Linked DNA regions of Macaca mulatta. The protein of the gene in region 4 purifies or fractionates together with the protein of the main gene of each other region. This does not show direct contact. Links are inferred from orthologs where the notes say so. Each region holds a gene or a part of one and is shown on either strand. Other genes may lie near its edges. The genes, in order: PSME4, ADRM1, PSMD5 and PSMB5.

Evidence for each region.
Region 1: the proteins of PSMB5 (region 4) and PSME4 purify together in Homo sapiens (affinity purification with mass spectrometry; 3 studies listed by BioGRID and IntAct, with this or other methods). This does not show direct contact. The link is inferred for Macaca mulatta from reciprocal best matches to the Homo sapiens genes PSMB5 and PSME4.
Region 2: the proteins of PSMB5 (region 4) and ADRM1 fractionate together in Homo sapiens (co-fractionation; 4 studies listed by BioGRID, with this or other methods). This does not show direct contact. The link is inferred for Macaca mulatta from reciprocal best matches to the Homo sapiens genes PSMB5 and ADRM1.
Region 3: the proteins of PSMB5 (region 4) and PSMD5 fractionate together in Homo sapiens (co-fractionation; 3 studies listed by BioGRID). This does not show direct contact. The link is inferred for Macaca mulatta from reciprocal best matches to the Homo sapiens genes PSMB5 and PSMD5.

The regions. Positions count from the first base shown.
Region 1 is NC_133418.1:70,792,367-70,797,349, forward strand, and holds part of PSME4 (proteasome activator complex subunit 4), read left to right. Parts: intron 1-1,531; coding exon 1,532-1,694; intron 1,695-4,090; coding exon 4,091-4,224; intron 4,225-4,748; coding exon 4,749-4,883; 3' UTR 4,884-4,887; intron 4,888-4,983. UniProt on the Homo sapiens protein: Associated component of the proteasome that specifically recognizes acetylated histones and promotes ATP- and ubiquitin-independent degradation of core histones during spermatogenesis and DNA damage response.
Region 2 is NC_133415.1:115,095,372-115,101,162, forward strand, and holds the start of ADRM1 (proteasomal ubiquitin receptor ADRM1), read left to right. Parts: upstream 1-2,322; 5' UTR 2,323-2,410; exon of another isoform or gene 2,411-2,480; coding exon of another isoform or gene 2,481-2,755; intron 2,756-2,940; coding exon of another isoform or gene 2,941-2,941; coding exon 2,942-3,154; intron 3,155-3,763; coding exon 3,764-3,880; intron 3,881-4,708; exon of another isoform or gene 4,709-5,519; intron 5,520-5,525; coding exon 5,526-5,649; intron 5,650-5,791. UniProt on the Homo sapiens protein: Component of the 26S proteasome, a multiprotein complex involved in the ATP-dependent degradation of ubiquitinated proteins.
Region 3 is NC_133420.1:37,357,072-37,362,875, reverse strand, and holds the start of PSMD5 (26S proteasome non-ATPase regulatory subunit 5), read right to left. Parts: upstream 3,920-5,804; 5' UTR 3,841-3,919; coding exon 3,668-3,840; intron 1-3,667. UniProt on the Homo sapiens protein: Acts as a chaperone during the assembly of the 26S proteasome, specifically of the base subcomplex of the PA700/19S regulatory complex (RC).
Region 4 is NC_133412.1:96,124,761-96,130,718, reverse strand, and holds the start of PSMB5 (proteasome subunit beta type-5), read left to right. Parts: upstream 1-2,089; 5' UTR 2,090-2,101; coding exon 2,102-2,299; intron 2,300-3,208; exon of another isoform or gene 3,209-3,211; coding exon 3,212-3,518; exon of another isoform or gene 3,519-3,980; intron 3,981-5,958. UniProt on the Homo sapiens protein: Component of the 20S core proteasome complex involved in the proteolytic degradation of most intracellular proteins. This complex plays numerous essential roles within the cell by associating with different regulatory particles.

The DNA.
Region 1 (4,983 bases), on a different chromosome or scaffold from region 4:
AAGTATAATGGGTAGTTCACATTTAAGTTTTGTGTCATTATATGTTAGCACTGGCTTTTTTGAAAAGCAATAAATAGCCATAAAATTAACAGTAAAATTGTTTATATATTTACATTTACTAATCCCAATTTTCGTAATCTATTCTAAGAAAATACACTGCAGGCCGGGCACGGAGGCTTACGCCTGTAATCCCAGCACTTTGGGAGGCCAAGGCAGGAGGATTGCTTGAGCCCAGGAGTTGGAGACCAGCCTGGGCAACAGAGTGAGACCCATGTCTACAGAAACTAAAAACTTAAAAACACAGAGTGAAAATATATACTATAATATGAAAGGTTAAACAAATTACAAATATTGATAGCATAGTACTGAAAATATGAAAGTAATCTAGTCAGTAGTTAATTATGAAAATAAATTTTGGAGGCCGGGCGCGGTGGCTCACGCCTGTAATCCCAACACTTTGGGAGGCCGAGGCGGGCAGATCGCGAGGTCAGGAGATCGAGACCATCCTGGGGAAACCTCGTCTCTACTAAAAATACAAAAACATAAATTAACCGTGGTGTCAGGTGCCTGTAGTCCCAGCTACTCGGGAGGCTGGGGCAGGAGAATGGCGTGAACCCAGGAGGTGGAGCTTTCAGTGAGCCGAGATCGCGCCACTGCACTCCAGCCTGGGCGACAGAGCGCGACTCCGTCTTAAAGAAAAAAAGAAAAAGAAAAGAAAAATTATGGCATATAAGCTTTATAGGAAATAGTGCAACCAGTAAAACATTTTACAATGTATTTCATATGCTAGTGTAACGGACGCAGGAAAGAACATTATGTACTCGACAGACTATGATGATAAACTTACGAAAAACCTTTTGAAGGAATACAACAGAGCAAAACATCTGTTTTTTAAAATTATCATTGTGTATTATGAACATTAAACATAAATGTGATTTATATGTGAAATGATGCCTTTTTACTGCTTTTTTTTCCAAAAAGTTGAGTTACCATTCCAATTTGAAATGAACTGTGTACACGCTTCATTTAGTATTTGTGTAAACTGTGTTTACAATCTGACAGCAGCCTGTGAAATTCATAAGAATTAAACAGGATATAAGTCTCTATGATGTATGCCAATTACAGAAATTAGGTTGGTCTGTGCTTTGTTACTAACAAAAATAGCTAAGGCAGTGGCCTTCAGAGATGTAGTCTGGGAAAACTTGATCTTAATGTCAGGCTCTGGCACTGCTTTTACAGTTATAGCCCTGATGAGAGCTATCAGTAGGGAAGATAATTTATGGAGAAATTTAATTTTTCTAAAAGAGGTAAAAGTTTATGCTCATAACCCTAATGTAGTTTTTATCCATTACAAGGCCACAGACTCTGAGAATCTGCTGAAATCTCTATTAAGAAACTGCCAAAGAGCATACACAAAATTTGCATGTAATTTCAGGGAAGGTCTTCACCCCAGTTCCCACACTACCCCCTATCCTCCATTATTCCCTCAGACTTAGAATGTCAGTTCTAATAGACATAATTATATCTACAGGTTCGAGAAATGGCTGCTACTACCTTAAGCGGTCTGCTACAGTGTAACTTCCTTACCATGGACAGTCCTATGCAGATTCATTTTGAGCAACTTTGCAAAACAAAACTACCTAAGAAAAGAAAGCGAGACCCTGGTTCTGTAGGAGATACCATTCCTTCTGCAGGTAACATTGCTGGTAGAAAACACTCATATCCTGTTGGGAATTAATGAGGGTTAACCAGGCTTACTCATATTTATTGAATACTTGTATGTATGTGCCCAGGTCTATGCTAGGTATTGGGAAAAGTTTTCCCTACTTTTGAGGAATTTTGCATATAGAAAGCAGGACTTGGGAATGTAGAAAAGCTAAAATTGAGGTAAGTACAAAGGAACCTGTAGAACTGCTACCTAATAACTATTGTAATCAGTCTACCCTCCACCCAGAATAGCTTCATAAAAGAGATACTCAGATTAGTTATTTTGGAGGGTCTGAAATACCTGTTTTTGGAATTTAGAACTTAAATGTAGATGTACTGACAGAAAAAACTAAACAAAGCAAGCCTTGTTTTGATTTGGAGATGGGGATTATTTGGTCCTTCATTAGTCCTTTGGTGAGAGAGTGCAGAGTCATTGCAGGAGCTGCCTTAGTTGAATATAGACACAAGTTAAACACGAGAATAAGATCTGACTACTATGTCATGTTTAAAGAGAAATGTGAATGTGATTACAAAGATGCATCTTGCCACGTTAACTATAATCCTAATAGAAAATACATAAAAAGATTAATAGTAAGTAGGCATTTTATTGAATTTAGAGGACGTGCTTAGAATATAAAACTTTTACTGCTGATTAGTGTCTTAATTATGTCATAAAGTTACCTAGTAACAGAATCCAATAAAATATCAATGTACGTTCTAGTATCTTTGCTTTTTGGGATATACATATATATGTTTTATATATAATATAAACATATTTTATAATACATATCTTTTGGAAACAGGATCTTCCACTGTCTCCCAGGCTGGAGTGCAGTGGCATGATCTCGGCCCCCTGAAACCTCCACTTCCTGGGTTCAGGCAATTCTCATGCCTCTGTTAGCTGAGTAGCTAGAATTACAGGCGCGCACTACCACACCAGCTAATTATTTGTATGTTTAGTAGAGATGGGGTTTCACCATGTTGGTCAGGCTGGTCTTGGACTCCTGACCTCAAGTGATCCACCCACCTGGGCATTCTAGAATACTGGGATTACAGACGTGAGCCACAGCACTGGCCTGAGAACTCTATTTTTTAAATGATAAAGTGCCAAAGTATTTTTAGGTCTTTGTTACACCAAATGATATTGTTTACAATTTTGACCAGTCCAAATTCTCTTTTCCTTACCTTCAACTCCGTTTTCCATGTGTCACATATACACATGTAATATGTTTTAAAACACATGAATACACACACTTTTATTGAGAAACTGAGAATTTGAAACGATTTTAACTTACAGCACTACAGAAAGAATAGAGACCCTTTAGAATACAGACATGCTGCAATTCACTGTTTTAAGAAATAGACCTTCTTCATACATGATGTGTTAACTAATGAATCAATGTATTCTGGGTAGGGTCGTCACATCCAGAAAAAAAAAAAGCTAATTTTGATTGGAGATTATTTTAGAATCAGGGATTGTACTGGCCTAGGTACAATTATGCTGTCATGGATGAACAACTATGGAAGTCTTGAAAAAAATCTTTTTTTTTTTTTTTTTTTTTTTTTTTTTTTTTTTTTTTGAGATAAGGTCTTGCTCTGTCGCCCTCCTTGGAGTGCAGTGGTTTTGAACAATAGCTCACTGCAGCCTTGACCTCCCAGGCCCAAGCGATCCTCCTGCCTCAGCCTCTTGTCCAGCTGGAACCACAGGCATGCACTGCCATGCCCAGCTAATTTTGTTTTTGTTTTTGTTTTTTTAATTTTTTTTGAGATGGAGCTCGCTCTGTGGCACAGGCTGGAGTGCAATGGTGCGATCTTGGCTCGCCGCAACCTCTGCTTCCCCGGTTCAAATGATTCTCATGCCTCAGCCTCTGGGTATCTGTGACTTCACATGCCATTACACCCAGCTAATTTTTGTATTTTTAGTAGAGACAGGGTTTCGCCACGTTGGCCAAGCTGGTCTTGAACTCTTGACCTCAGGTGATCCACCTGTCCCGGCCTCTCAACGTGCTGGGATTATAGGCATGAGCCACCATGCCTGACTGCCAGCTAATTTTAAAAATGTATTTTTGGAGAGACAGGTTCTCACTTTGTTGCCCTGACTGGTCTCAAATTCCTGGCCTCAAGTGATCCTCCCACCTTGGCCTCCCAAAGTGCTGGGATTACAGGTATGAGCCACTGTGCCCAGCTGACAAATTCTTAAATACAGTATTATTTTTAGTTTAGCCTCAAAATCAAGTTTTTGATGTGTATACATGTAGATTCATTTTAAATGCAGAAATTCACATATTGAAAACAACATAATTGAAAACTAATTTTATTTCACTGTCACAGCTGCATTAGAGACATGTAAATATTTGCACATATGTTGCTGTTTTCTTTGCAGAGTTGGTCAAACGCCATGCTGGGGTGCTAGGACTTGGCGCATGTGTTCTTTCTAGTCCTTATGATGTTCCCACCTGGATGCCCCAGCTCCTCATGAATCTCAGTGCACATCTAAATGATCCTCAGCCTATTGAGGTACAGTTCTTCCTTATTAGTTTGTACATGTAGTATCAGTGATGTTTTCTAAGAAACCATAATAATAATTTCCTATACACTCTGAACTAACTGCTTTCATAAAGCTACTGCCTCTGCCAGGGCTCAGTCTGTTCACCAGTAATTATTTAAAAATTACAGAGACCTTGCTGCCATGGATATTTGAGATCTTTTGGTAGTCAAGAAATTATTGTAGCTTCTATCCCTCCCAGTTCAATGGAAGTAAAGTACTGTCACTATAGCTGTGATAAATTTTATGTTTCTATTTTTCTAGCACTGCAAAGTATTTTACTGGAAGCTAGTATTAAATAGGAAATTATGATGGCATTTTTAGTAACTCAAAAGACCATTGACTTTGTCCTTCTCATTGGCTTTTTGGTTTTGTAGCATTTGGTATTGTGTGAGATCTGAAGTCTAGAGGGATGGTAATTTAACTAAAAATATCCTACCTATGATCCTGGTTGTCCAGAGAGGTTAAAAACGTATGTGGATTGTCTACTTTACAGATGACTGTAAAAAAAACCTTATCCAATTTCCGAAGGACTCACCATGACAACTGGCAAGAACACAAACAGCAATTCACTGATGACCAACTGCTTGTTCTCACCGATCTTCTTGTGTCACCATGCTATTATGCATAGAAAGGTAAGTTGGCAAAGTTCTGAATTTAAAGACATGACATCCTCAGGCAAATGTCATTGGTTTGGTGACTGAGAAGTAGGTATTTATTGTTTTTTTTTT
Region 2 (5,791 bases), on a different chromosome or scaffold from region 4:
TGCAATGCCTGTCTGGCTGCGGCTTGTTTCCTCACTGCAGCGTGCTCATAGGAATGTGCGAATTTCACTTGAAGTGTAGGTAAAGAGTTCTGGGGTTTTTTGTTTGTTTTGAGCCGTCCCAGGCCACAGGGCCACCAGGAACTGGAGGAAATGGTAAATCCAGGGCCCTCTTGGCCACTTCGTTGGCCTCTGCACATTTGGCCCCTGCGGACCCTGGAGCTGCTGCTTCACTGTCTGTGACGTCAATAAGTGACACTTGCCTGCCACCCTCTTGCCGGGAAAGCCGGGTTGGGTTTTCTCATTTCCACCTTTTCCCTGTTTTACATGAGGGCACGAGGACGGGGCTGCAGTATCAGTGGCGCACCTATCACCAGCGGGCCCCAGAGCTTTGTGTTAGCCCCTCTCAAACCCTTTAGCCTCTGGACCGCTTAAATTCTTAAAAATTATACAGGCCCCCAAGAGCTTTTGTTTATGTGAGCTTTATTGACATTTACCATACTAGGAATTAAAAGGACATTTAAAATTATTTAACTACATAAAAATAACAAACTCACTACCTGTTAACACACATTTTAAAATGAAAAATAGCTACATTTTCCAAAACAACATGAATGGGAACATTATGACAGTCAAAAGCTGGCAACTAAACATAACTGGCACATGCTCTGCCACTGAGACAATGGAGGGCTGAGCAGTAGGCTCCCTGCAGAATGAAAGGACTGGAGCTGCCAGCATCAACACCAACGCATCTCCCAACAAGGGTGAATGAAAACATACACCTAAAGACCTCAGAGAGCTGTGCATCCACTCGGAGCGTGAGCCACCAAGCACACCCTGACCCCGGGGAACGCCCGAAGTGAGCAGAGTATCTGAAGGAAAGAAGGAAGTGAGCGGTGGGCAAAGGAGAACCCGAGGACCCTGGCAGGGTCTCAGCTGCAGACATCTAGTCCTCCTGCTTAACGGGTGCCGAGGCCACTGCACCTCGGGGTTCTCACGAAGCTCCTGACCTATTTTTATTACTATTATTATTTATTTATTTTATTTTTTATTTTTGAGGAGTCTCCCTTTGTTGCCCAGGCTGGAGTGCAGTGGCACAATCTCAGCTCACTGCAACCTCCACCTCCCGGGTTCAGGCGATTCTCGTGCCTCAGCCTCCTGAGTAGCTGGAATTACAGGCATGTGCCAGCACACCTTGCTAATTTTTGCATTAGTAGAGTCGGGGTTTCATCATGTTGCCCAGGCTGGTCTTGAACTCTTGGCCTCAAGTGATCCGCCCACCTCGGCCTCCCAAAGTGCTGGAATTACAGGCGTGAGCCACCGCGCCCGACCCCTCTAAGAGCCCCCGCCTGGCGTCGCTGTAGGCAAATCCCAAAGAACGTGTCCCTCTTCAGCAGCCGGCTGGGGCGCCACAAGCACTCTCTGTTGTCTTCGCTTTAGTTTGTGTCAAAAGTGACTCAAAGTTACACAACACTGGAGGGCGACTGCAGCCTTTTTACCCTGTGGCCTTTCCCATCCAGGCGCCCAGAGGATAAGCCCCTGCCCTCCGGGACCCCTGCCCTCCCGGACCCCACCCCTCTGGGACTCAGGCCTTCCCTGACTCCTCCCCTCCCGGACTCACCCCTCCCAGATCCCTTCCCTCCGGGACCCTCTTCCCTCCCGGGCCCCCTCCCCTCCGGGAACCTCTCCCCTCCCGGACTCACCCCTCCCAAATCCCTCCCCTCGGAGACCCCCTCCCCTCCCGGGACCCCTCTCCTCCGGGACCCATCCCTCCCTGACCTCTGCCCTCCCCGACCCCTGCGGGACTAGATGTATGCAGCTGAGACCATGTCACGGTTCTCACCCCTGCTCTCCCGGACGCGTGGACTGCAGCTCCTGCCCGGGTGCCCGAAGCGCTGAACCATGGTCACTTCTGTGCGTAGCCCTGGTGCCTGCCGCCCAGAGCCGGACCGCACTCCTCGGCTTCCTCCTATCCCCTGGCACAGTCACACGAGTGACAGCTCTTCCCGCCCGGGCTGGCGACGCCGAGGGGTGGGCTTGGCCCGACCTCAGCAGGTCCCCAGCGCGCTTCTGAAACCCGCCTGCGGTCCTTGGCGCCGCCTCTAGGGGCCGCCGCCGCTCCCCTATGACACAGCAACAATAGGGGCCGCTCTGGCCCACGCGCCTCCCGGCCCGCGCTTCCGCCGGAAAAGAGGCGCCGGCGCGGGGGCGGACCGGGGAGGAGCGAGTGCGATGGACGGTCGCCCTCGCCAATCGGTGGCAGATTAGGGCCGGCCTCGGGGCCTCCGGGGCCCAATCGGTGGCGAGAGCGGCAGGCGGGGCGGGCCGAACGCGGGCTTCCGGCGGGGCCCGGCAGGCGCCGAGGAGGAAGAGCCCGGACGGCGCCTCTCGTACGAGTGTGGGCGCGAGGCAGGTGCGGGGGTCGCAGGTCCTGGGGCGGCCGGGGGCGACCGGAGGCGGGGGCAGGGGCTGCTGGTCCGGGGATGGGGCGGGGTCAGCCAGGACGAGAAGGTGGCCGGCGCGGCGGGCGGGGCCTGCGGGGGCCGGGCCGGGTGGGGGCTCTGGGGTTCGGGCGCCGCCCCGGTTCCGCCTGCTGCCCTGAGCGTGGGGCTCGGCGGGAGCTCGGGCGGATCTGCCCCGCGGAGCGGGTCGCCGGGGCGGCGCGTCGAGGCTGGTTCCCCGCGGAGACGGCGTCACGCCTGGGGCCGGCCCCATTAGGCTCGGCGGGGCTGCCCCGGCCCAGCGCCGACTGCGAGCGGTGCGTTCGGCGGGCGCGGGGGAAACGCGGAAAGCAGCCCGGCGTGTCAGTGTGGACGGGGCCTGCGCGGCCTTAGGCAGCTCTGGGCGCCGGCCCCCTGCTCCCAAACACCCCAGGGGGCGGGAGCTTGCCGGACCGCAGGCGACCGTGACCGCCGCGTCTCAGCGTCGTCTCCGCGCTTTCAGGATGACGACCTCAGGCGCGCTCTTCCCAAGCCTGGTGCCAGGCTCTCGGGGCGCCTCCAACAAGTACCTGGTGGAGTTTCGGGCGGGAAAGATGTCCCTGAAGGGGACCACCGTGACCCCGGATAAGCGGAAAGGGCTGGTGTACATTCAGCAGACGGACGACTCGCTTATTCACTTCTGCTGGAAGGACAGGACGTCCGGGAACGTGGAAGACGTGAGTGTCCCAGAGCCGCGACAGCGGGACAGGCGACTTCTCGGGCCCTCGGAGTCCTCGCTTTGGAGTTCGCGGTGGGGGCTTGGCCGCATCTGGGGAACGCTCGTGAGGCCGTCATCGGCTGTCGTGCTGATGAGTCGTCCTGGTTTCCGCGATGACAGGGGCGTCTCGGCCACTGTGTGTCTTGAACTTTCCGTGTGAGGTGCCTGGGGTTGGAGGTGTGGCCCTGGAGAGCCTGGAGCTCTCTGCCTGGCCGCTTCACTCAGTCGTCTTTGTTCTTCAAACTTTAAGTTGTTTTTTGTTACATTGGAGAGTAGTTCAGAGTTGACCTTTTAACTACTCTAGGAATGTTGTTCCCAACACGTCTCAGAAACCCTGTTGCTATCTGAAAGGCCCATTTCCTGCTCTCTCCCCCGCGCCTTGCCTTTCATGGGCTGTCTCTGACCCTGGCTTCTCCACCTGGGGGAGACCCTGCCAGCGAGGGATCTGGCGGCTTAGCTGCCTCTTGTGCACCCCACCCCGTTAGACCCAGGGCCTGGCATGCTCTCCTGAGACTGGGCACAGTGGTGCCATCTGCACCGCTGACTCTCTCTTCCTGTGGCTTGCCAGGACTTGATCATCTTCCCTGACGACTGTGAGTTCAAGCGGGTGCCGCAGTGCCCCAGCGGGAGGGTCTACGTGCTGAAGTTCAAGGCAGGGTCCAAGCGGCTTTTCTTCTGGATGCAGGTACGGGGCAGCTCTTGGGGTTTTGCCTTTTTGTTGCCCTGTGATTCAGTTAGGAACTTGCTTGCAGTGTGGTGCAATTGGCTGTTACAAACCAGCGGGCACCGGCCACACGGCCTGAGATGCCACCCCGGGACTGTGGTGCGTGTTCCCTGGGGCCGAGGTCCTCTCCCAGAGTACGGCGGCTCCAGGCTGGGCTCCGGGTACCCAATTGCGGTGTGGAATTTCCAGCCAGACAGGCATGCTGACCCTGGTTCCAGCGATGCCCAGTGCCCTCTCTGCCCCTTGCTGTGGGTCACTGAGGCCCCCGCAGCAGAGGCAGGGGCTCCTGTGTGGCTCACAGAAACGAAGCATTCTCCTCTCCCTCTCCACAGCCCTGCCCCTTCCCTGGCAGTGTGTCCTGGAGGCCAGGGGTATCAGCGCCCAGGGTTTCTCTTACCCACAGCTGCAGAGCGTCCGTTGGGTCCAGAGGCCATTGCTCATTCTGCCCTCTGTCAGTGACCATTGAGCTTGTTGCTGTTTTTTGTGCTGTTACAGGCAGTGTTGCAAAGAATTGCCTGGTACACAGATTATTTTCCATAAGCCAGTATAATCTGGAGGTGAAAACTGGTGGCGGGCCTGTGGTCAGAAAGCGTGTGCGTGCGTTTGCAATGTGGAGAGAGAATGCCATGCCCTCTGCCAGAGGTGGAGCTGCTGTCCCCACCCCCAACCTTGGCCCTTTCGAGAGCAAGGGTGGCCCTGTCTGAGAGGCCTCTGGGGGGCAGATGGTCCGTGTTGCCGCTCACCTCTGCAGGCACTGTGCACGTGGCCTGGGAAATGAACAGGCATAGCCGAGTTCCAATTAAACTTTATTTGCAAACACAGATGGGGAGCACAGTTTGCCACCTGCTGGTGTAGAACGTGTTTTTCCACGGTTTTGCCAAGAAGTAGTGTCCAACTGTTACCACCCTCTCCCCTTTTTTTCCCGATTTTCCTGTTGATGACTTTTAAGTCCCTGTCCCCGCTTTGCCATGAGGGCAGGGACTCCCAGTGTCCCTGGCGCCCTGCCGTTCGGGGTGTGCCCATGAGGGCAGGGACTCCCAGTGTCCCTGGCGCCCTGCAGCCTCCATAGCTGTTGGAGGTGTGCGTGGGTGCTCTGCTCCCAGCTCTGTGTGCTCGCAGGTTGATGCTTCTGACCCTGGTCTGTGCACGTGTGGGGACACACACGTGTGCTCGATTGTGAGGGCCTGCCGTGGCTCTGGGCTGTGGTGTGCTGAGCGGGCCAGTTCGCTGCCTTCCACTGGTTGAAGGAAGGAGACAGGTGTATAAAGAACCACACCCCAGAGAGCAAGAGGGTGAGAGGACTTGGCTTGGCAGCAGCCAAGTGCCTTCGGAGCCCTAGGCTCCCCATCTGTGAAATGGGTGGAGGGGGACAGGGCACAGCCAGCATTGCGGCAGACTGGGGCAGGGCGCGGAGCATTGTGCTCAGCAGGCACCACTGCCATCCCCTCACCTGCTGAGCTGAGTCCTGTCTCCTCAGCACTGTGTAGCCAGGTACACGCGCCTGTGCCTCTCAGGTCCCTCACCTGTAAGCCAGCTCAGGATGGCTGTGGTGGCCCTCAGAGTGAGCTGGCACCGGCTCCTGCTCTTACGTGTCCTTTCTCTGCAGGAACCCAAGACAGACCAGGATGAGGAGCACTGCCGGAAAGTCAACGAGTATCTGAACAACCCCCCAATGCCTGGGGCTCTGGGGGCGAGCGGGAGCAGCGGCCACGAGCTCTCTGCACTAGGCGGTAACTGTCAGCTCTGTCACATGAGCTCAGGGTTTCCTGGGAGGCCAGAGTCTACTGTGGATGACTCGCTCCCTCCGCACAGGTTGTTTGGAAGTGGAAATAGAAGATTCTAAGTTAGACACCCTGTTAGCTCCTCGCTCCC
Region 3 (5,804 bases), on a different chromosome or scaffold from region 4:
GTTACTGTGTCTATATAGAAAGAAGTAGACATAAGAGACTCCATTTTGTTCTGTATTTGAGATGCTGTTAATCTGTGACCCTACCCCCAACCTTGTCCTTGCAAGAGACAAGTGCTGTGGTGACTCAAGGTTTAAAGGATTTTGGGCTGTGCAGGGTGTGCTTTGTTAAACAAGTGCCTGAAGGCAGTATGCTTGTGAAAACTCATCACCATTCTCTTAATCTCAAGTACCCAGGGACACGTACAGACCTCCGCCTGGGAAAGCTAGGTATTGTCCAAGGTTTCTCCCCATGTGATAGTCTGAAATATGGCCTCGTGGGAAGGGAAAGACCTAATCGTCCCCCAGCCTGACACCCATGAAGGGTCTGTGCTGAGGAGGACTAGTATAAGAGGAAAGAAGGCCTCTTGGCAGTTGAGATAGAGAAAAGCATCTGTCTCCTGCCCGTCCCTAGGCAATGGAACATCTCGGTGTAAAACTGAATTGTATGTTCTGTTTACTGAGAAAGGAGAAAACTGCCTTAGGGCGAAAGGTGGGACTTGCTGGCGCAATGCTGCTCTTTATGCACTAAAAAGGTTTATGGAGATGTTTACATATGCATATAAAGGCACAGCACTTTTCCTTAAACTTATGTCACAGAGATCTTTATTCATGTCTTACTGCAGACCTTCTCCCTATGATGATCCTATTATGCTGCCATTTACCTTTTTCTAAGATGGTAAAGATAATGATCAATAAATACTGAGGAACTCAGAGACCCGTGCAGGTGTGGGTCCTCTGTATGCTGAACGCCGGTCCCCTGGGCCCACTTTTTCTTTCTCTATACTTTGTCTCTGTGTCTCATTTCTTTTCTCAAGTTTCTCGTTCCACCTAATGAGAAACGCCCACCCACAGGTGTGGAGGGGCAGGCCACCCCTTCAGGAAACCATGGAAAGGATTAGCACCAACTGACTTGAGATGTATGCTCACTGGGGTTACAGGGTGGGAAGGACTTGCTAGAACAGGAATTTCAGAGTAATGAGAGGTCAGACTAAAACTACAGACCTACCAAGAGGGAAAAAATGAGGGCTTGACTTAAAGAGGAGACAAATAAGAGATATTTCATAGGCCGGCCCAAATAATGTTAACTGATAGACTTCATGAATGGAGAACACTTACAGAAAAGGAAGGAATCTTAGAAGGTCAGAGTGAAGAAAGTGCTCTGAAATCATCCAGTGTTGATTCAGTGGTTCACAATCTTTTCAAGTAGTAAGGTCACTTTAAAGTCTTTGGATCACAAACATTTCAAAACTCTTTTAAATGATCAAAGCATCAAATACAAAGTGGGTTTTTTTTTTCCTTTTTTTCCCCCAGATCCAGGTAAGAAAGAATTATAAAATTTTTTAAAATCTTATCTTATATATATATTTTTAAAGACAGAGTCTTGGCTGGGTGCCGTGGCTCATGCCTGTAATCCCAGCACTTTGGGAGGCCGAGGCAGACGGATCACTTGAGGTCAGGAGTTCGACACCAGCCTGGTCAACATGGTGAAACTGCATCTCTACTAAAAACACAAAAATTAGCTGGGTGTGGTGGTGGTGGCACGTGCTTCAGACTTTGTCTAAAAAAAAAAAAAAAAAAAAGACAGGGCTTCACTCTGTCACCCAGGCTGGAGTGCAGTAGCACAATCTTGGCTCACTGCAACCTCCGCCTCCTGAGCTTCAAGGGATGCTCCCGCCTCAGCCCTCAAGTAGCTGGGACTACAGGCACGCACACCCAGTTAACTCTGTTTTGTTTTGTAGAGATGGGTTTCACCATGTTGCTCAGGCTGGTCTTGAACTCCTGGGCTCAAGTGATCCACCCGCCTCAGCCTCCCAAAGTGTTAGGATTACACAAGTGAGCCACTGCTCCTGGTCTACAAAGTGTTTTTATTTTTATTTTTATTATTTTTTTGAGACAGAGTCCCATTCTGTCACCAGGCTGGATGCAGCGGCGTGATCTCGGCTCACTGCAACCTCTGCCTCCCGGGTTCAAGTGATTCTCCTGCCTCAGCCTCCCGACTAGCTGGGATTAGCCATGCCTGGCTAATTTTTGTATTTTTAGTAGAGATGGGGTTTCACTATGTTGGCCAGATTGGTCTCGAACTCCTGACCTTGTGATCCACCCACCTCGGCCTCCCAAAGTGCTGGGATTACAGGCATGAGTCACAGCGCCCAGCCTATTTTTGTATTTTTAGTAGAGACGGGGTTTCACCATGTTGGCCAGGATGGTCTCCATCTCTTGACCTGGTGATCCGTCCGCCTCAGCCTCCCAAAGTGTTGGGATTACAGGCGTGAGCCACCGCGCCCAGCCTACAAAGTGTTTTAAATCAAACACTATGGATGTGAAAAAAATAAAAAGTAAAAGTTGTCCTACTTTTTTCAGACCCACTTCCCTAATAATAGTTTCTGGTGTGCCTTCGCAGATCTTTGCAATGTTATACAAGTTATACAAGCCTGTGGGGGTTGGGAGGATTGTAATCCTTTTTAAAAATTACAGGTTAAAATTATAGATTCATAAACTCTGCAATTTTCTTTTTCATTCAACAACACAGAAATCGTTCCATGTCCACATACATATATACATCTACTTCAACGTCTTAAATAACTGCATAGTGTTACAGAGTAGTAGCGCATAATTTGGAATCCCCTGTTAACGGATATTTAGATTGTTTCTAGTCTTTTGGTGTCACACACGATATGTTACAAATATTCTTGCATATAATACTGTAGGGTCCTCCAGTCGCCCCCTTTCTTTCTGTGTGCTGATGGAAAATCAGAGTGCCTTGATTGCTCTCTGACCTAGCCAGCAGCAGGTTTCCCTAGCAGGCTTGACCATAAACCCGGGGCCTTGAACATTCCCAGGCCTGATAAAGGTACCTAGGTTGTTGCCCAAAACACTGGAAGAAACTGGCCTCAATCCCGAGCCAAATTCCTTTAAACTCTCAACTAAACTCCAAACCCAGGAACACCTCTTTTCTCCCGGTGTCCGTCTTGATAATTTCTGCAGCCCTCCGTAGGTTCCCCCTAAACCCTTTTGGACTGATCGCCTTGGCATTCAGTGCTTCTTTCTCTGGCATCCCAACCAGCCACATCTCGGGAAGGTTTGAAGCACTCCCTTGTGGGAACTCCCTTGCCGCTGTTTTTGGGGCGATTCCAGCCTCGGGTTCGAAAGAACAAAATAACTGCACATTTTGTGCGCGTATACTTGCATTAAATTTTTGTAACAAGAATAACTGGATGAAAAGGCATGTGAATTTAAAATGGTGATGGTTCTTGCCACATTGCCAGGACAGGATCCTTTTAGAAGAGGTAACAAATCAAGAACCTGTACAAAGAGATGTGGAATGCTCCTTGTAAGTGGACAGCTTTGCTTTTCTCCTTTAATTTCTATCTGAAGGAGAAGGCAGTGCCTCACTGCTCAGAGGCAGCGAGGCCAGGCGACGGGAGAAAACACCCTGGGGCACTCCCAGAGGCTGAACCTGAATCCCGTCTCCTGCCCTCTGAACCTGGGATCCTTCCCTCTTTGCAAATTTCGGCTACTTTCCACCTTCCCTGTGACTGGGAAAAGCGCTGTTCTTGCCCTCAACCACTCTCGTGTCCATATTTAGGGGTGCCCCTCTCCTCGGCTCAAGGTCCCGGGGTCCTCTCACCTATGGTTCTCATCAAGCAGGGAGAAGAGCGGGCCGAGGCGCAGCTCCGCCGCTTGCTCGCGAAGCTCGTTGAGCGGCACTGCCTGCAGCACTGAGTGAAGAGCGCGTAGCTCCTCCAGCGGCGCTTCCAGCCTCGCTACCTCCCTCAGCAACGCCAAGGCCTGGGCCGCCATCTTGCCCCTCCCCACGCAGGGGTTGGCCAGCGGCCCGGTTCCCGGGGCGCTTCCCTGAACGTCGCGAGATCTGCTGATCACAGCCTCCTTGTCCCTGAGATTGCTATGGGGCTGCCAAGCCTCGCGAGAAGTGTCCGTTAGTGCCGTGTCAACTGTAGCCAGTGGCTGCGGCTCCCTCTGTCTGGCGTCATCTAGGGCGCTGCTCAGGAGATTGCGGAGGCCAGTTAGCCAGTTGGCTTACGTGTTTATCGCGTAGGGCAAGACTTGCCAAATTCCCAGCCAGCGGAGCGGCGAGGATGGGGACTTACGGGAAGTTAAAGAGCTTCGTGGGCGGCCTCGCGGCTCCAAAACCAGGCTCTAGGCGGCGGCGACCGCAGCCGTTAGGGAGGCCACCGCGGCTACGACCGCAGGTGAGGCCGCCCCAGGCGGAGCGGAGGCCTGGAGGGGAATCTTGATCCTGGGCCAGACACCTGTCAAGAGGAGGCGGAGCGTCGTGCCTCCAGGAAGACTGGATGAGTATTCTCCAGGAGCCGGACAAAGGCGTGAGTAATAGGGACGTGCGCCGCCTTGTTGGTGTTGATCAGTCCACCAAGGAGAAGCAGCTGTGGGCGCGGTGGCCGTGCCTGTAATCTCAGCGCTTTGGGAGGCCGCGGCGGAAGGATCGCTTGAGCCCAGGAGTTCGAAACCAGCCTGGGCAACATAGTGAGAACCCAGTCTTTACCAAAAAGAAAAAAAAGAAGAAGAAGAAAAAAATTAGTGCGGTGTGGTAGCACGCACCTGTAGTCTCAGCTACTCGGGAGGCTGAAGCGGGAGGCTCACCTAAGCCTGGGAGGTCGAGGCTGCAGTGAGCTGTGATTATGCCACTGCACTCCAGCCTGGGTGACAGCAAGACCCTGCTTCCCCAACACCTTGGCGCCCTCCCCCCACCCCAAAACCAAAAAAAACCAGTGTGGAAAGTTGGTCGCCCATCTGCTCCAAGCTGCTGTGTATTCCCGGTAATGTAAACATCGTGAAGGTGGAGATCCAGTTAACCTTTTAGGTGGAGGGCCAGATGGTAGAGGGCGACATCTGACCGGGAAGGCCATCTGCAACCAGGCCTAATATATCCACAGGGAACCTGTAGGAAACATCTGGGGAGGACAACCCAAATAAGTATCATGGGAGCAAGGGGTGGTTTGAGAACTTTAAAAATCGCTGCTGTTTTGCAATGTACCAGGTTGATGGGGAGGAAGGACCCTTAAATGCTGAGTGGGCACCGAGTATTCCAAGCAACTGGAGAGAGGCTATGTGCCTCAACAGGTCTTCAACACCAAGGAGACGACCCATCTTTTCTGTGCGTGCCTTCCTACTTTTGGGGCAAAAGACAAAACTCTGGAAAGCTTAGAGGAGGCTAAGGACAGGATTTCCCTCATTTTTTTTGTGGCAGTGCCTCAGGTGACAAAATGATAAAACCACTGCTGCTTTACAAAGACTCTAATCCCCCACTTGTCTTTCAGAAAGAGATAAACGCCTTCCTGTTTTCTTGTGAACACACCCAGAATCACCATTGCCACTTTATGGATTGGTTTTGTTATTTTTTTATCCATCAAGTCCGAAGTCATTTAACAGAAAAAAAAATCCGGAAATCAGAATGTTGCTAATTGTGGACGGAGGTCCCAATCACCCAGATTCATTATTCTTTGTTCATTCTAATGTTGATTGTGTTTCTCCCTCAGGAAGGCCCTAGCTTTCTTCAGCCCTTGGGTTAGGGTATAATCGAAGCATTTGGGAGGTATTACACCAAACATATGTTTGACCACTTTGCTGACTGTATTTAAAAAAACCTTCGCCTTACTCTGAAAGAAACATGGCAACAGTACAATATTGCTGATTCTTTGGTAGTGATAAAAGAGGTGATGGGTGATATAAAATCAGCCACTCTTAAGCTTGCTGGAAACTGTGGGAGGATGTGTGAATGATGATGC
Region 4 (5,958 bases):
CACCTGTAATCCCAGCACTTTGGGAGGCTGAGGCAAGCGGATCACCTGAGGTCATGGTGAAACCCCATCTCTACTAAAAACACAAAAATTAGCCAGGAGTGAGGTCGGGTGGTGGCTCACGCCTGTAATCCCAGCACTTTGGGAGGCCGAGGTGGGCGGATCACGAGGTCAGGAGATGGAGAGCATCCTGGCTAACAAGGTGAAACTCATTTCTACTAAAAATACAAAAAAAAAAAGAAAAAGAAAATTAGCTGGGCCTGGTGGCGGGCGCCTGTAGTCCCAGCTACTCGGGAGGCTGAGGCAGGAGAATGGTGGGAACCGGGGAGGCGGAGCTTGCAGTGAGCTGAGATGGCGCCACTGCACTCCAGCCTGGGCGACAGAGCAAAACCTGTCTCAGAAAAAAGAAAAGAAAAAAAAAAATTAGCCAGGAGTCGTGGCAGGCATCTGTAATCCCAGCTACTCAGGACGCTGAAGCAAGAGAATCGCTTGAACCCGGGAGGTGGAAGTTGCAGTGAGCCGAGATCACGCCCTTGCACTCCAGCCTGGGGGACAAGAGCGAGACTTTGTCTCAAAAACAAACAAACAAAATACAGCATATGGCTGGGCGCAGTGGCTCACGCCTGTAATGCCAGCACTTTGGGAGGCTGAGGTGGGTGGACTTCCTGGGGTCAGGAGTTCGAGACCAGCCTGGCCAACGTGGTGAAACCTCGTCTGCGCACGCACACACACACACACACACACACACACACACACACACACACACACACAATTAGCTGGACATGGTGGCGGGCACCTGTAATCCCAGCTACTCGGGAGGCTGAGGCAGGAGAATCACTTGAACCTGGGAAGCAGAGGTTGCAGTGAGCAGAGATCGTGCCACTGTGCTCCAGCCTAGGTGACAGAGCAAGCCTCCATCTCGAAAGAAAAAAAGAAAAAAAAAGAAAAAGAAAAAGAAAAAGAAAAAGAAAAATGCAGAGTCTGCTAGGGGAAAGATGGGGCTGAATTGGGCATCAGAAGAAAGTGGAATTTCGATGTTGATAGATGTTGCTGCTAGAATCCAACAAGGAAGGCCAGACACTGACTTCATAGAGCCACAAAGCAGGAGGCAACATTTCATACATATGCACACTTCCTGGTTTGTTATAGTTCCGAAAAGATTTGAAAAATGAAGGTGGGTGGAGGGAGGAAGAGGCAATGAAATATAGTACGTTCCTGAATAAAGGGCATCATCTTAGCAAGTTGAAGTTAGAGAATCTCTTGGTACATATTTATGCAGTCTCAACCGTCCTCCAGGCTCTGAGATGGTAAATTACTACTGGCACTTATTCAGGTCTGACTTGAGAATCTAGTTTGTGGATTAACTGGACCCTTTGCTTTTTCTTCTTCCATCTGCCTTTTAGGCAATTCATTACTTATTCGAATTTCCACCAGACGGTAGGAGTCAAGAGAAGGAATATTGGATATTAAAAACCGGTTACTGTTAAAGAAGGGTTGCTGTATGGCGACTGACAACAAGAGGTATAGCACTTTATTTTGTTGCGTTTTTTACCACTAATTACTGTGGTTTAACTAATATAGGGAAATGGCCTCAGAATGGATCATTATTTTATCCAGTTTTAGAGGGTGCCCTTAAACAAGATGGCAACCTCAGGGGCGTTAACAAGGTGCTGAAGCAGCAGCGATGTAACCTGTTGCTTGGACACCGGGCTGGAGTGGGCGGACCCACTGCTAAGGGTTCAGAACCAATTTTCAACCAGTCACGCCCTTCTCAAAGATGGCCGACCTCACTTCCCTCACGCAACATGGACGTTTTCAGACACTTCCTGTGAATTTGAGGTTACCCTGATCTAGGACTACTTGCATGACCAAAGCCAAGATGGCAGGTACGTTTAAGATTAGTGAAGCCATCTATTTCCCCAACGCCCTTCGTGAAAATGGTCTTTCCCATCTGGCGCTTCTTTTTGGAGGCGTGGTTGCCAGCAGTCAAAATGGCTCCTTTCGGGAATAGATTTAATAGGAAGTGAAGCTGTGACGGCGAGGCGTTGCCCGACCTATCTTTGCTAGGCGTTCTCAGAGTTAGTTCTTTCTGCCCACACTAGACATGGCGCTTGCCAGCGTGTTGGAGAGACCGCTACCAGTGAACCAGCGCGGGTTTTTCGGACTCGGGGGTCGTGCAGATCTGCTAGATATAGGTCCAGGGAGTCCCAGTGATGGGCTGAGTCTGGCCGCGCCCGGCTGGGGTGTCCCAGAAGAGCCAGGGATCGAAATGCTTCATGGAACAACCACCCTGGCCTTCAAGGTGCGGAGCCAGCCCCCTTGCCTGGCTGATTATTGAACGCCCGCGACTTGCCTGGCCTCCCAGCCTGACCGGAGTTTGCGGTGGCCTTGGCCACCAACCCAGGCGGAGGCGCGGTCCTCTCGTTCGGACCGCAGCAGTTTTGCTGTCTCATTGACCCAGGAGACTCCTGTCTTTGCTCTGGTTGGAGAGGGTGGCGGTGGGGCTGGGGGTAAGTCGGGGAAGGAAGCTGAGGCCTCTTGGGTTGATTCCTAGGCGACCCCAGGTTGCTGCTGTTCAGGATCTTCTAGCTGGGAAAGGGGAAAGGCCGCAACAACAATGAACCTTGGCCGAGGGAAGGCTATTGTAACCGTTTACCAAAGTTTTGGAAACTGGGCGGCCCCTCAAGGCAAGGGTAACCGAAACTGGCATAAAGGGGAAGCTGGGTTCCTCATCTATAAAATGATTTTTTTTGTTGTTTTTGAGACAGGGCTTCGCCCTGTCGCTCAGGCTGGAGTGCAATGGCGCCAGCGCCTCAGCCTCCAGAGTAGCTGAGACTATAGGCACACACCACCACGACAGGCTAAGTTTTTTATTTTTTGTAGAGGTGGATCTCCCTGTGTTGCCCAGGCTGGTCTCCAGCACCTGGCCTCAAGCGATCCTCCCGCCTTGGCCTCCCAAAATGCCAAGATTACAGGAGTGAGCCACCACGCCCATCCTATAAAATGAATTTAATATGAGTTATATCCATGTAAAGGGATTGAGATGTGAAGCTCAGGTGACATTAATATATGGGGAAGTAGAGAAGTGTACTGTGAAGTATAAAAGGATGGAGAAAGAGATGTGCTGGGTTTGGACTGATGCAAAAAGAAGTATGGTAGGAGTGTTTTTGTGGTCTTATGTGGCCTGTTTTGTGTTTTCCTCTGATCTTAACAGTTCCGCCATGGAGTCATAGTTGCAGCTGACTCCAGGGCTACAGCGGGTGCTTACATTGCCTCCCAGACGGTGAAGAAGGTGATAGAGATCAACCCATACCTGCTAGGCACCATGGCTGGGGGCGCAGCGGATTGCAGCTTCTGGGAACGGCTGTTGGCGCGGCAATGTCGAATCTATGAGCTTCGAAATAAGGAACGCATCTCTGTAGCAGCTGCCTCCAAACTGCTTGCCAACATGGTGTATCAGTACAAAGGCATGGGGCTGTCCATGGGCACCATGATCTGTGGCTGGGATAAGAGAGGCCCTGGTGAGTTAAGCTGCAACCACATTATCCTTGGGCTGACACTACGGAGAGGAGGAGTTGTATGGACAGATGAATTAAAGGGTTTGGTGTCAATGCTGAGGAAGTGTAATTAGGTCCTTAGCCCTTCTTTCTCTCTCCTTTTTTTTTTTTTTTTGAGACTGTGGCTCATTCTGTCACTCAGGCTGCAGTGCAGTGGCATGATCTTAGCTCACTGCAGCCTCCGCCCCCAGGTTTAAGTGATTCTCATGCCTCAGCTTCCCGTGTAGCTGGGATTACAGGCGCCCGCCACCATACCTGGTTAGTTTTTGTTTTTGGTTTTTTTTGAGACGGAGTTTCGCTCTTGTCACCTAGGCTGGAGTGCAATGGTGCAATCTTGGCTTATTTCAACCTCCACCTCCGGGATTCAGGCGATTCTCCTGCCTCTGCCCCCGAAGTAGCTGGGATTATAGGCATGCACCACCACACCTGGCTAATTTTTGTATTTTTAGTAGAGATGGGGGTTTGCCATCTTGGTCAGGCTGGTCTCGAACTCCTTACCTCAGGTGATCCACCCTCCTCGGCCTCCCAAAGGACTGGGATTACAGTCGTGAGTCACTGTGCCCGGCCTTATTTTTGTGTTTTTAGTAGAGACGGGATTTCACCATGTTTGCTAAGCTGGTATCCAACGCACATGATCCACTGACCTTGGCCTTGGCCTCCCAAAGTGCTGGGATTACAGGTATAAGCCACCGCACCCAGCCTGTTCCTTCTCTTTTTCAAGGAAGGCACTGTAGTATAGGAAAAGGGATAGAGTTAAATCAGCTGTGTCATTGACTACCTGTTTGACAGTGGGCATGCATATTTTCTCAGCCTCTGTTTTATCATCTGTTATATTGGTTAAGTGAGGTAACAAATGTAAACCTACTAGTATAGTGTCTGGCTAATAATTTTCCATCTGTTCTCTCTCCTATAAAATAAGACCCAGAGGCCAGGCGTGGTGGGTCATACTTGTAATCCCAGCACTTTAGGAGGCCGAGGCAGGTGGATCACGTGAGGTCAGGAATTCAAGACCAGCCTGGCCAACATGGCGAAACCCCATCTCTACTAAAAATACAAAAATTAGCCTGGCGTGGTGGCAGGTGCCTGTAATCCCAGCTACTCAGGAGGCTGAGGCACGAGAATCACTTGAACCCAGGAGGTGGATGTTGCAGTGAGCAGAGATCGCGCCACTGCACTCCAGCCTGGGCAATAGAGTGAGACTCTGTCTCCAAAAAAAAAAAGAATTTAAGAATTTGTTGAATCTTACATGTAGCAGTAGTGCTATTTGAAGTGTTCATTGGCCATGTGTGGCTTGTGGCTACTGTATTAGACTCTAATATATGGTTGTCCCTCAAAAGTTAGTCATTTCTCTTCTGTTTTTTTCTTTTCTTTTTTTTTTTTTTTTTTTTTTTGAGACGAAGTTTTGCTCTTGTCGCCTAGTCTGGAGTGCAATGGCATTGTCTCGGCTCACTGCAACCTCTGCCTCCTGGGTTCAAACAATTCTCCTGCTGCAGCCTCCCAAGTACCTGGGATTACAAGCGCCTGCCACCATGCCCAGCTAATTTTGTATTTTTAGTAGAGATGGGGTTTCACCATGTTGGCCAGGCTGGTCTCAAAATCCTGACCTCAGGTGATTCGCCTGCCTCAGCTTCCCAAAGTGCTAGGATTAAAGGCGTGAGCCACTGCACCTGGCCTCTTCTCCTTTTTTCTTTAGAGAGTCTTTGGCCTAGAAGGAGCCTTTTGGGCTCCTCTCTTTTTTGGGGGGCGTGGGTATAGAGTCTCACTCTTGTCGCCCCTGCTGGAGTGCAGTGGTGCAATCTCAGCTCACTGCACTCTCCGCCTCCCAGGTTCAAGTGATTCTCCTGCCTCAACCTCCCATGTAGCTGAGACTACAGGCATGCGCCACCATGCCCATCTAAATTTTGTATTTTTAGTAGAGACAGGGTTTCACCATGCTGGCCTTGAACTCCTGACCTCAGGTGATCTGCCCACCTCAGCCTGCCAAAGTGTTGAGATTACAGGGGTGAGCCATTGCGCCCAGTCCTGGGCTCATTTCTTTTATTTCTTTGCTGGTTATAATCACCCTTAACAATCGTGCTAGGTCCTGTTCTATCATCTCTGAAAATAAGTTCCTTAGCCTATTTTTCCTTTCCAGCATTTAAGAAACTTGCCAGAAAGTTCGACTCTGTATTTGATGTCATTTCCTCATCAGCCAGTTTTGAAATGTCCCTTTAGTAAAGTTGGAGTGTAGCTAGTCACTTTCTACTTTTCCCTTCCATATGCTTAAAAATAATTATTATTTCCTCCTTTTGTTTTTGCTTCATTAATTTACCTGTTTACTAAATACCTAGTTACCTTGTAGAACAATTATAGGATACCTACCACTTTTTCACTTGCTTTCAAATGAGGATAGAAAGGGATGTAG